2 linked regions of the Caenorhabditis elegans genome follow. The protein of the gene in region 2 interacts with the protein of the main gene of each other region in a pairwise test. Each region holds a gene or a part of one and is shown on either strand. Other genes may lie near its edges. The genes, in order: srv-4 and Y106G6H.6.

The links.
Region 1: the proteins of Y106G6H.6 (region 2) and srv-4 interact in a two-hybrid assay, tested with the Caenorhabditis elegans proteins (one large-scale study listed by BioGRID).

What each region holds. Positions count from the first base shown.
Region 1 is NC_003282.8:4,284,882-4,290,211, reverse strand, and holds srv-4 (Serpentine Receptor, class T), read left to right. Parts: upstream 1-1,779; coding exon 1,780-1,941; intron 1,942-2,039; coding exon 2,040-2,255; intron 2,256-3,102; coding exon 3,103-3,261; intron 3,262-3,304; coding exon 3,305-3,409; intron 3,410-3,902; coding exon 3,903-4,084; intron 4,085-4,595; coding exon 4,596-4,685; intron 4,686-4,738; coding exon 4,739-4,790; downstream 4,791-5,330. Other genes in the region: F15E6.5 (F-box associated domain-containing protein), read right to left, coding at 151-645.
Region 2 is NC_003279.8:10,442,855-10,447,835, forward strand, and holds Y106G6H.6 (TPR_REGION domain-containing protein), read right to left. Parts: upstream 3,190-4,981; coding exon 3,067-3,189; intron 2,935-3,066; coding exon 2,674-2,934; intron 2,562-2,673; coding exon 2,364-2,561; intron 2,145-2,363; coding exon 1,903-2,144; intron 1,445-1,902; coding exon 1,189-1,444; intron 1,134-1,188; coding exon 996-1,133; 3' UTR 813-995; downstream 1-812. Other genes in the region: pdpr-1 (DAO domain-containing protein), read right to left, coding at 1-131, 177-287, 642-691; sec-8 (Exocyst complex component 4), read left to right, coding at 3,823-3,900, 3,947-4,085, 4,130-4,192, 4,239-4,377, 4,426-4,514, 4,641-4,783.

The sequences.
Region 1 (5,330 bases), on a different chromosome or scaffold from region 2:
TAATACAGTTACGATAAACACAATACGATATACATACATTTAGTTAAAAATTAAAAGACAGCCAAACAATCAATATATGTATTATTGATTTCAGAAAATTTTCAATTGGGCTTCAAATTTTAATTATTAAGACCTTAATTATTAAAATCTCTAATTTTCTTCTGGTTGAGTAAACATTTGGAAATAACGACCTTCATCAGAGAATGTTATAATCGCTAGAGTTTCTTCGTTTCCCTGAACTACATAAACTTCTTGAGCTGCAATATTTTCTTGGGCATTCAATTCAAACTCTAGAACTGTCGTCTCATATTTCAAACCAGCTAGTAGTCTATTTATGAATGGTCGTAGATGGCGGTTTAGTTCTGTTGATATTCTCGCCGAAAAATGTTTCAATAAAGGGTTGGACCCGTTCATCCAGTGCTTTATGAATAAGTTCAGTACGTTTGGAGTCAGTATGCATTTGACTCGTAAAATACAACAATTGATGATCAATAAATCATTAAGAGTTAGAGGATAGTTGGATGGGATTTCAAGAATTTTAAGATTGTGTTGAAAGGTTTCTTGAACTTCTTGATAAGTTTGAATTGAATTGTCGGGTAATGGATACCCTTTAAAGACGATTTGCTCAGCATTTGATTTCAGCATTTTCAGATTTGAAGTACTCCTTTTAAATGGTTTTAAGTGAAGACATTGGAATTCCAATCCGTGCAGCTCTTTTTGTATCCACCGAAAACTGTTCTTGTTGAGGTAGACCTCATCAACCACTCGTTGATGGAATATACAAATGTATCACAAATTCATTCACCTTCAATTTCGGATTAACTCATCGGAATTGAGTTGGAGTGCATTTGCTGACGGTTGGCAGTACACCATTCAAAAATGAATGTGGGTTATTAAACATTCCCGCAAAAATACGATCACGGTTTGATGGATCTGTGAAAACGAAGGATTTTTGAGTTTCCAGACGTGAAGGAGAGACAGATTCTGAAAATAAATCATGTTCTAAAAATAACAAAAACCATTTTTTATTTGCATAGATAATTTTTTACTGGCATTTTCTGTCAAAAAGGTTACTCAAAATTTTTTAATTAGTCGAATTAACGAATCTAGACTTGTTTACCAAATAATTTAAAATTACAGTTCATCGTTTTGGATTTAATTTCGAACTCACAAAGATAACAGATCCATCGATTTCAAAGCATTTCTCAGCTGTCTAGGTGGTAGATTCAAGATTTGAAAAGGAACTTTATCCATTTGGGATAATTCAAATTATAGTAGAAATGCTAAACGATGAGAAGAGCAAGGAAGGGGCTAGCCGCCTGACAGGCAAGTTGACTCGCGGCAGGTATCCTGCGGAAGCGAGCCACGAGGAAATAGTGTTAAGCGATGAAGAGACCCATACATTGTTAGCTAATATATTCGGCTATTCAAATTTTCCGAAAATCTTGTCCTGGATGCGGGAATGAGAAAATATTCCGTTCTCGCAATTTTTGTATTTGTATATGAATTTTGTATAGTTACACAACAATTTTAGTCAGAACAATGATATTCCTCGGGATCATGTGAAACAAACTGGTCTCGTCAAACGTTGAAATTAATGTTTGTTGCCATCTTGTTTAATACTTTACTTTCCTTTTTCCAATTTTCCCCAACACAACACAAAAATCACCTGCTCACCCTCTCTCAATCTCTCAAATTTTCTCTCTCAACTTTTCTTATTTTCCCACCATTCTTCATATCTTCTTGGAATGACACGTGTTTTTGGTTGATGTCCTAAAAATGCCGCTCTCCATAAATCTAAGTCTACTCCCAATAAGTCATTTGATATTTATTCCGATATGCTGGTTTTCTGTGTTTTTGTACCTGCGGGTTTTGTATATTATTCACCAATTAAGAAAAAATGTTTTCAAATCGTCGTTTTTCTTGATTATCAGGATGCATGTAAGTTGAGAGGTTTCTTCTTGGGACAGTGCCTTAGAATCATGCTGCATCGGTCCATTTTCCCATTGAGCAAATTTAAAAAACCCCTAGAATTTTAGGCTATCACGGACCTCCTTATGTTCCTATACGTGGAGCTGGTTGCTCGCCCACGCAAATACCGAGTTCATAACCTATTCGAAGCAGCAAACGATCATTGGATTCCTCAGCTGTTGTGGTTTTCATTGACAGTTATCAAAAATGCCATGTTCCTAGGGTATACGGTAGTTGCCGTCAATCGGTGCTCCGAGATATTTCGGTTTAGGAATCATGTAAAGGTACATTTCGGCTTTATGAGAAATTGGTGTAATTTTCTGTGAACTTTTAATAGAATTTTCCATATATATTGGTCAAATGTTGAGCTCTTTAGGTCAATGTCCTGTGAAATTTGCTTGTTAATTTCGTAGCTTCTTACCAACTTTCTGTAGCTATTTTTTTTTTGGAGAAAATAAAATTTATTTAAAACAACCATTTTCTCACAAAGATCACTTCGACTTTATGTTCTCCACAAGTGGCTAGTTGTTTGATGATTGTATGAGTCCGAGCAGGAGCAGATGTTCCATATGTGCATCGTGATGACCAGTCATGCAAGAGCATCCAGCAGCAGCTTCATCATTGCAGTGTGCTGACCATTGAGCCCAGCAGCTTCAGGAGGAATCCATTGAGCATCCGGGAGAAGTGAAGAGCCATGTCGTTGATTTATGAAGTAGCTTTTTGGCATTTTTGTGCGTTCTTGGTAATTTTTTGTAACTTTCTGTAGCTTTTTTGAAAATTTATTATAACTGTATGTGACTGTTTGTAGCTTTTTTTAATTTTCTGTAATTTCTGTAACTCTGTACCTTCTTCACAATTTTATGAAGATTTTGCCAGCATTTTATAATTTTTTGAAACTTGTTGTAGCTGTTATCCAACTTTCTGTAGCTATTTGGCAATTTTTTGAGAGCATTTCAAATCTTCTTGTAACTTGTTATAGCTTTTTGGCAACTTTTTGTACCTTCTGCGATTTTCTGCAACTTTCTGTAACCTTTCATCAATTTTCTACCTACTTTCCGTCGAATTTCTGCCCCCTCTCCACAATTAAACGCCAATTTTCTACGCAACTTCCTTTCATTCAAAATTTTCCAGTTCTGGTCTCCAACCCTTATCCTAATAGTTTACTTATCTGAATGGCTGGCTCCAACAATTGTATTAATTCCACTATTCTACACTGGAAATCACAATTTCTCACTCATCGCTGCCCCTTCTGGCGGATTGTTTCTACGCGCCAGTCCGGAGTTCATCAAAGTCTGACATGTCTGAAATTTTTTTAACTTTTAAATTTTTCTAGCTAGATGTGCTCCAGGACCTCACTTTATCGATATTTTGCTTCCTGGTCAGCTCATTTTTGTATCTCATCACTTTTGTGCATTTGGTGCAGACTTTGCCGAAAACTGTGGGTTACTGTAGCTTCAAAAGTACGCAAACACCTAGAGATTGAAGAAAACTTCTAATTATACATCATGCTCGAGCAGAGAAACCAAAATGTTCCCGGAATCACATTAATAACTTAAAATGTAATGCCAAATCTAAAAAATATAAACATAAATAATATATTTTGTCAGTTCAAGAATGAATATTTCGAAAAGAAATTACACCTGTAGTCAAACGAAATTTTTTTACACACTTGAAACTTTTGAGAATAAATTTTGAAATGCATAAACTAAACGTTTTCTGTCAAAATAAAAAAAACCAGGTGTTTCTAGCATTAATTTAAAAATTTCTAGGTTACTCTAGCGCTAAAAGTACGCAAAAACCAAGTGACTGCGTACCAAACACCATAGGTTACTGAGAGCTTTCAAGCTGAAATTATTCGACAAGACTAATTGAATAACAGCGAATACAAACTTCTTACCTAAAATTTTCAGTTCATTCAGTATTACTTTCAGATGTCAAACACATTCTTCAGTATTAATCGATCGGAATCTTCAAATCTCAACCCACCAACAGACCTAATTATTTTCAAATGTGCATTTTTCTCATTTGTTCTGTTTGTGCCAAATTTCGCAAAAACAATGGTTTTATATTTCTCCACTAATCCTCAACTGGTGGATATTGGAACGGAACTTTGGTAGGATTTGAGAAAAATTGCTGAAATTCAAGTTTGGAACTGGAACTTTCCAAATTTGCATTCAATCCAAGAATCTCTGTCAAATTTCAGTGGAATTCCAAAAAACGAGAAGTCCCTAGCTTGCATTTGAAAATTTTGGGGCTACTGTAGCGTCAAGAGTACGCACGATTGCGTACCAAACACCGAAATTCACGAAACTGATTTTAAATGAAAAATTTTCAAAAAAACAACAATAATGAAGTTTATCCCGAAGTTTTGAAGAAAATGACTGAAAAATTACTACCAAATTCTAAATTTCACAACTCTTGTCAATTTGAAAGCATATTCTGAGAATCTTAAAACTTCCGGATCACTGTAGCGCCAAAAGTACGCAAACGCAGAATGATTGCGTACCAAACACCGTTTTTTGTGAAACTTGGAGCTTTCGAGCTTAAAATTGATGGATACGCAAATTGAAACATGGTGAATTTGAATTTCACATCAAAAAGTTACGAACATTTCATTTTCCCAGGTTCTTCACTACGGAAATAATGTGCATCAGTTCTCCGTGGAGCTTACTAGTGAGTAGCTCAAAATTGCGAAAGGAATTTATACCGAAAAGGTTGGTTTTTAAGAAAAAAAACTAAAAATAATTTTGAAATTTCAAAGTTTCAGATGCAGAAAACGACAGGAAAATATTTCTTCAATGTTGTCTACTAGATTTTAATATTTTTACTCGACTGCAATGTTTTTTTTGTGTTTTAATTTGTGAATAGTCTTGTAAAAAAAATTGTAAATTTTTAGAAAACAATTGTATATCAATTTGAAGTAGACAGTATGAAACCCGTTTTTTAACTAGAAACACTTTCAGAATTGACATGCTCCATCTTTTTTTCTGTAAGTTATAGGTCTGTTATCATCAATGTTGCGAAACTGTTTGCATAGATACCAAAGACTGTATTAATGTTGCCATTTTCTTTCTACTCTGATAATGCGAGCATGATTTTTGACGAAGGGTTGTTTGATATTATTTGCTCATTGACTCTCTTCATTAGGGAAATGATTAATAGTTTTTCAATGTTGTCGAATCAAAAATATACCTATTTTTTGGAAGTCGTCGATCAAAAAACATTTTTCTACCTGTTTTATGTTTTAATTATATTCATATTTCAAAATTGTAGGGGTTCGAAAAGACGCCTGTGCTTTACATTTTTAAAGTTTCAGTATTTCTTTCCCCAATAGCCGTACTCTGCCGTATAAGTTATGT
Region 2 (4,981 bases):
TGCAAGTTGTGGCGAGATGTGAGTACAAGTCGAGTGAAGCTTGAGCAATTGCTTGAAGGCTCGTGTCTTGCCAGAAAATCGGCGAAGAAACCAAACCGGCTGAGAGTCCCGTGGCTCCGGAGCATCCAATTCTAAAATGTTCAGTTATTTAGAGATAAATTTCAGATAAAACATACGAATCTTTTTCAACGAGTGCCACCTTCTTTCCCCGTTTCGCTAGGTGATAGGCGATTGATGTTCCCGATATTCCACCGCCACACACCACGACATCAGCGTTGGCGACTGCTCTGAAATCAAAAAAAAATTCTTCAAAATTTCAACAGAAAAAAAAGCCGAGTTTTGATAGAATTTGAATTTGTTCTCGCCGTAGCAGCTGAAATACAGTTTTTATTAAATTATTACTCTGATGCATATCGACTTAAAATGTACCTGAATCGACTTATTAATGCGACATTCACGACACAAATTTGCAATTAAGAGTGAAAATCGCTGCGACAGGGACTATTTTACGAAACTTCAATTTTAGCAAAACTTGGTTTCTTTTTTCATAAAAAATGTCGCTCGTTTCGTGCCAGTTTCAGTTATTTTCAGGTTGAAATTTTTTTCAGCGTAAAACAGCTTTGAAGTCGCTTTTTACATACGTTGTGTAGCTTCTTGCCCATCTCCACCTCGCTAACCGATGTCCAATCATCACATTTATGTACAAATCCTGAAAAATTGCTCGAATTTCTTGAATATAGTGAGAAGTACTTTCGAAAGAAAAAAGTATTTAAAACAGGGTGTATAGACCCTTTATTCTAACTTCAATTGAATGTTCTTGTAAAAATTTATATATTTTTTACGTAAACGGCAAAAAAGAACGACGCGTTGAAACGATGATGAGATGAAAGAAAAGAGAAAAAAAACTGATTATTGAAACATAATATTAGAGCAAAATGAGAATCTGTAGATTCAGGATATAACTTAGTTAATGACAATCAATCGATCAATTATTATTAATAAACGATTCGTTGTAACATTGATTCGAATCGCTTGAACAACTTCATATTTCCCATTAGATGAGCCAGATTTAATCCAAGTAAAGCCACGTTTTCGAGCATCACTTCGTCGAGTTTTCCTTCTTTGAGAAGCTTCTGAAATAATAATTATTTAATTTTTAAAATTATCTCTTTTCCTTTCAAAACTTACAATAACATATTCATGTGCCTTTAGATAGTTCCGTTTTCGCATATATGCCATGACTACCAGCATAGTTGCTCGCTGCCGTGCTCGAGCACATTTTGCAGCATTCATCACTCGCAGTGCATATTCGATTGCTCGATTGTAGCGTCCTATTCCGATCATTCCTTCAGCTTTGTATGTTAGAAGAATCGCCAAATCATCCTGCCACTCACCGGCTCGATCGTACCGTTCTACGGCGAAATTTACAGCTTCTATGGCTTCCCTGGAATAAAAAACAGTGGGTTAAGAAATACATCATCGCTTTTTTCCCAACATGGGTCCGAAAAACCCAAATTTTATGATTTATGAGTTGATAAGAATGTATTAGATTTCTATTGCCGAATTTACAGTATTGCAGTTGCTGGAAATTATTTAATTATCACTCATTTTTGCACATTTTGGTTTTTTTTACATGTTTTCTCGTGGATAAGACATTTTAAACGACTAAAAACCCCGTCACAAGCGGCCAAAATATGAAAAAATAATTATAAGTTGACGAAAATTTTAGGTTGTCATGAAAAAAAAATTAAAATTTTCAAGACGATTCATTTCAAAAATAGGGATTTTAGGGCGTTTTGGGGTCAAAAAAATTCGTTTTTTTTTCTTGAAAATTATTGCTCCCGCTGTAGCAGTAGCACAAATAAACATTCTTTTTGTATCTAAAAGGCAGCTGAAACTTACGAATATTTTCTTAATTTGAGAAGCATGAATCCGTGAAGAGCCGCTGCAGCATAATGGACAGGTTCTCGGCTTGATTGTTTTGCCAAAGCGAAGCACATCAGTGTAGCTGTTTCAGCGAATCGAAGAGTCATATCCGGATGTCGAGGTCGCATTTCGTTGCATCGCCGCCGTACCGATGGCATATAATGATGAGGTTGCTTTTCGAAAAGACGATCGTAGATATCATTGAACTCCCAAGTCTCCTGAAATTAAAAATTAAAGTTAGTTGTTCAGATGGTGCGGAGATTCAGAGAAGTGTGGCTCTCTTTCTTTCGGAAATTTAGATAGAAATATAGATATTTCCAATTTCTGAACATAATGTTACTTTTAATGCTCGGAAAGAAATTCCTGAAAAATAGCTATGGGAGAAATGAATTTTATAAATTTTCCGCCCTACTCTGCTGAGAATGATCAATTCTCACCTCGTAATACTCATAAATCAAAGCTTCTGAGATCCGAATCCAGACGAGAACATTGGTGTTGAAGTATGGAATACATGGCCGTAATCGTTCGAACATCTCTCGATAACGTCCATCGTGATGTGCTTCAAGACCTCGGCTATACAGCAACAGAATGTCGCGTACGGCGAGGTCCGCTGGGCCATGCTGAGTGTATAATTCCTGGCGGCATTATTAGGGTCCATTCAAATAGGGGAAACGGGACGTTTTTTATTGTTTTAAAAATTTTGGCTGGGGAGAACAAACTAGCATTAAAAAGTATTTATATTCTTACCTCGGTAACCATCTTCCGCATTGCAGATTGCTGCTCTTCTGAAAGACAAATTGCGCGACGTTTGAAACTTCTTTTCATATGGGATATCCATTGGGATGCCATTTTTGACGAAACCGTTGTGGCCGTACTTGAAAGACCAGTTGACATACCACTAACTTCACACCCTTGATTCATTCGAATATTTTCCATTATTTCGCTGAGATCTGGATCTTCCGACACACGATCTTCTATTAGCTTGAAGCACTCGGCAGCTCTTTGGAACTGAAAATCATGAAAATTTGGAAATTTTGTGGGTTAAAATGTTAAATGTGGAGAAAAACTATTTAAATGTGTATTTTCCGCTGAATTAACAGCAGAAATTCCCGGGTAGATCAAATAATGTGCAAAACGTACACTGCCTTCCGCTCCGTTTTCCGCTTCGATTTCTCCAACTATTAAATCAAAATCAGACATATTTTCAGGCATTATCGGAGATGACATTCTCCTTTCCCTTCGTTCTTCTTTTGGTTCCGTCATGGCAGAGCTTCCTTTTATACTTTTTCTCAGAAGCTCTGCAAGCTCATGCAGTCGTTTTTCCAGGATTAACGGGAGAGATGGAGCGAATAGCTGAAATTATAAATATTTCTGACAAAAATGAATGTTTAAATACGTATTTATCAAATAAACGAAGAGAAAGTTGAAGTAAAATGAGAAAAAGGAAAATGAATTTTAACACAAGCGGAGTACTGTATTTTTTAAAGGCGCATTGTTGATGGAACACAGCGGCTCTCGTCACGATATATATTGTGTTCTCCTCGTGGACAAAATTTAATTAATTGTTGCATTATCGGATTTTCTATTTGTTGACGGTTTTTCATTATTATTTATTTATTTTTTGCAAATTAATTTACTTTAAAATCTCATAATTTATTTAAAGAAAAATAAAAAAAATGTGTTTTTTCCAATTTCTAATAGAAAAGCAAGTGTATCCATGCGTATTACACTGCCCAGCGTGCTCCCGGCTATTCGCGTTCGATATATTCGCGACCGGCGGCCGACGTCAAATGAAAACCTAGGCCGTTGTGTGATCAATTGTTTACTTGTTTTCTCGTACATTTTATTGGGCGAAATCACATATTAATAAACTTTATTTCAGATTGAGAGCTTCCTATGAACGAAAACGGGGCTACTCCGGTGGCGGCCGCTAGAAGGCATCGACCATTGCCTGCAGAGAGAGCAACATCGAACGTGAGCTATCGAAAAACGGATTATTAGTTTAAAATTGATATTTCAGTCAAACGAAACGGGTCTTTTAATAAATGTAATCCGATCACTAACATCGTCAGTTTCGGAAGATCAACGAGAAGTAGAGAAATCGAGATTAGAAAAAGGATATAAAGAATCTGGAGCACTAATCGATCGTTTAGTTAAAAGTAAAACCTTTTTTATTCTTTCAGCAATACATAAAATTGTTCAGATCATCAACAAGACGTCGAAAAATGTTTAGTTTCATTTCGAGATGTTTCTTCAAAAATATCAAGTAAGAGATTAAATTTTAAAAAAGTACTTTTGAATTCAATTTTCAGATTGTCGAGAACGTATTCACAATGTTCGGAATGCCCTACACACAGTCAAAAGCTTATTGGAATTACGGAGGGATGACCTGAAAAAGCTGTGGCACGAGAATGCACAGCAAAAATCAGTTTGCGAGATTATGGCAAAATTGTAAACAAAAATTAATATTTAATACACTGAAATTTCTATATTTTTCAGAGAAGAACTTCGAGAAGCTCCATCAAAAATCGAGAATCTAATCTCAAAAGAACAATACCAACAGGCAGCTGATACTGTTACAGAGTCTAGTGAGTTTTTGAATGAAAATGATGGAGAAAAGAAATCGAGAGAGAGAGAGATAGAGAACTATAAAATCGCTGCGGCCCTATTAGCGATGGGAATATTCGCGATTTTATGTATTTTACATTTTTCAGGAGAGCTGATAAATGGACGATTATCACGAGTGGAAGGGCTTTCTCATTTATCCGCAGAAATTGAACGATTTACTAAAATTCTCATCGATAAGATCAATGATACACTTGTAAACATGTTAGTTGTGGAGCCTTTTGAGAAACACGTGAGTTTATAATTATTTAAAAAGTGGAGTAACGAAATTTGGTCTCAAAATGGCCTAATATCTCAATTTTCCCATCTTTTCAATATCACATCGGTGTTTTTTTTTTCGTTTTTTCAGTCGTTGGGTACACAAAACTTGAAATATACCATATTTAATGAATAAACGATCAAAATTTGTAATAAAGCGGGATAATTGCAA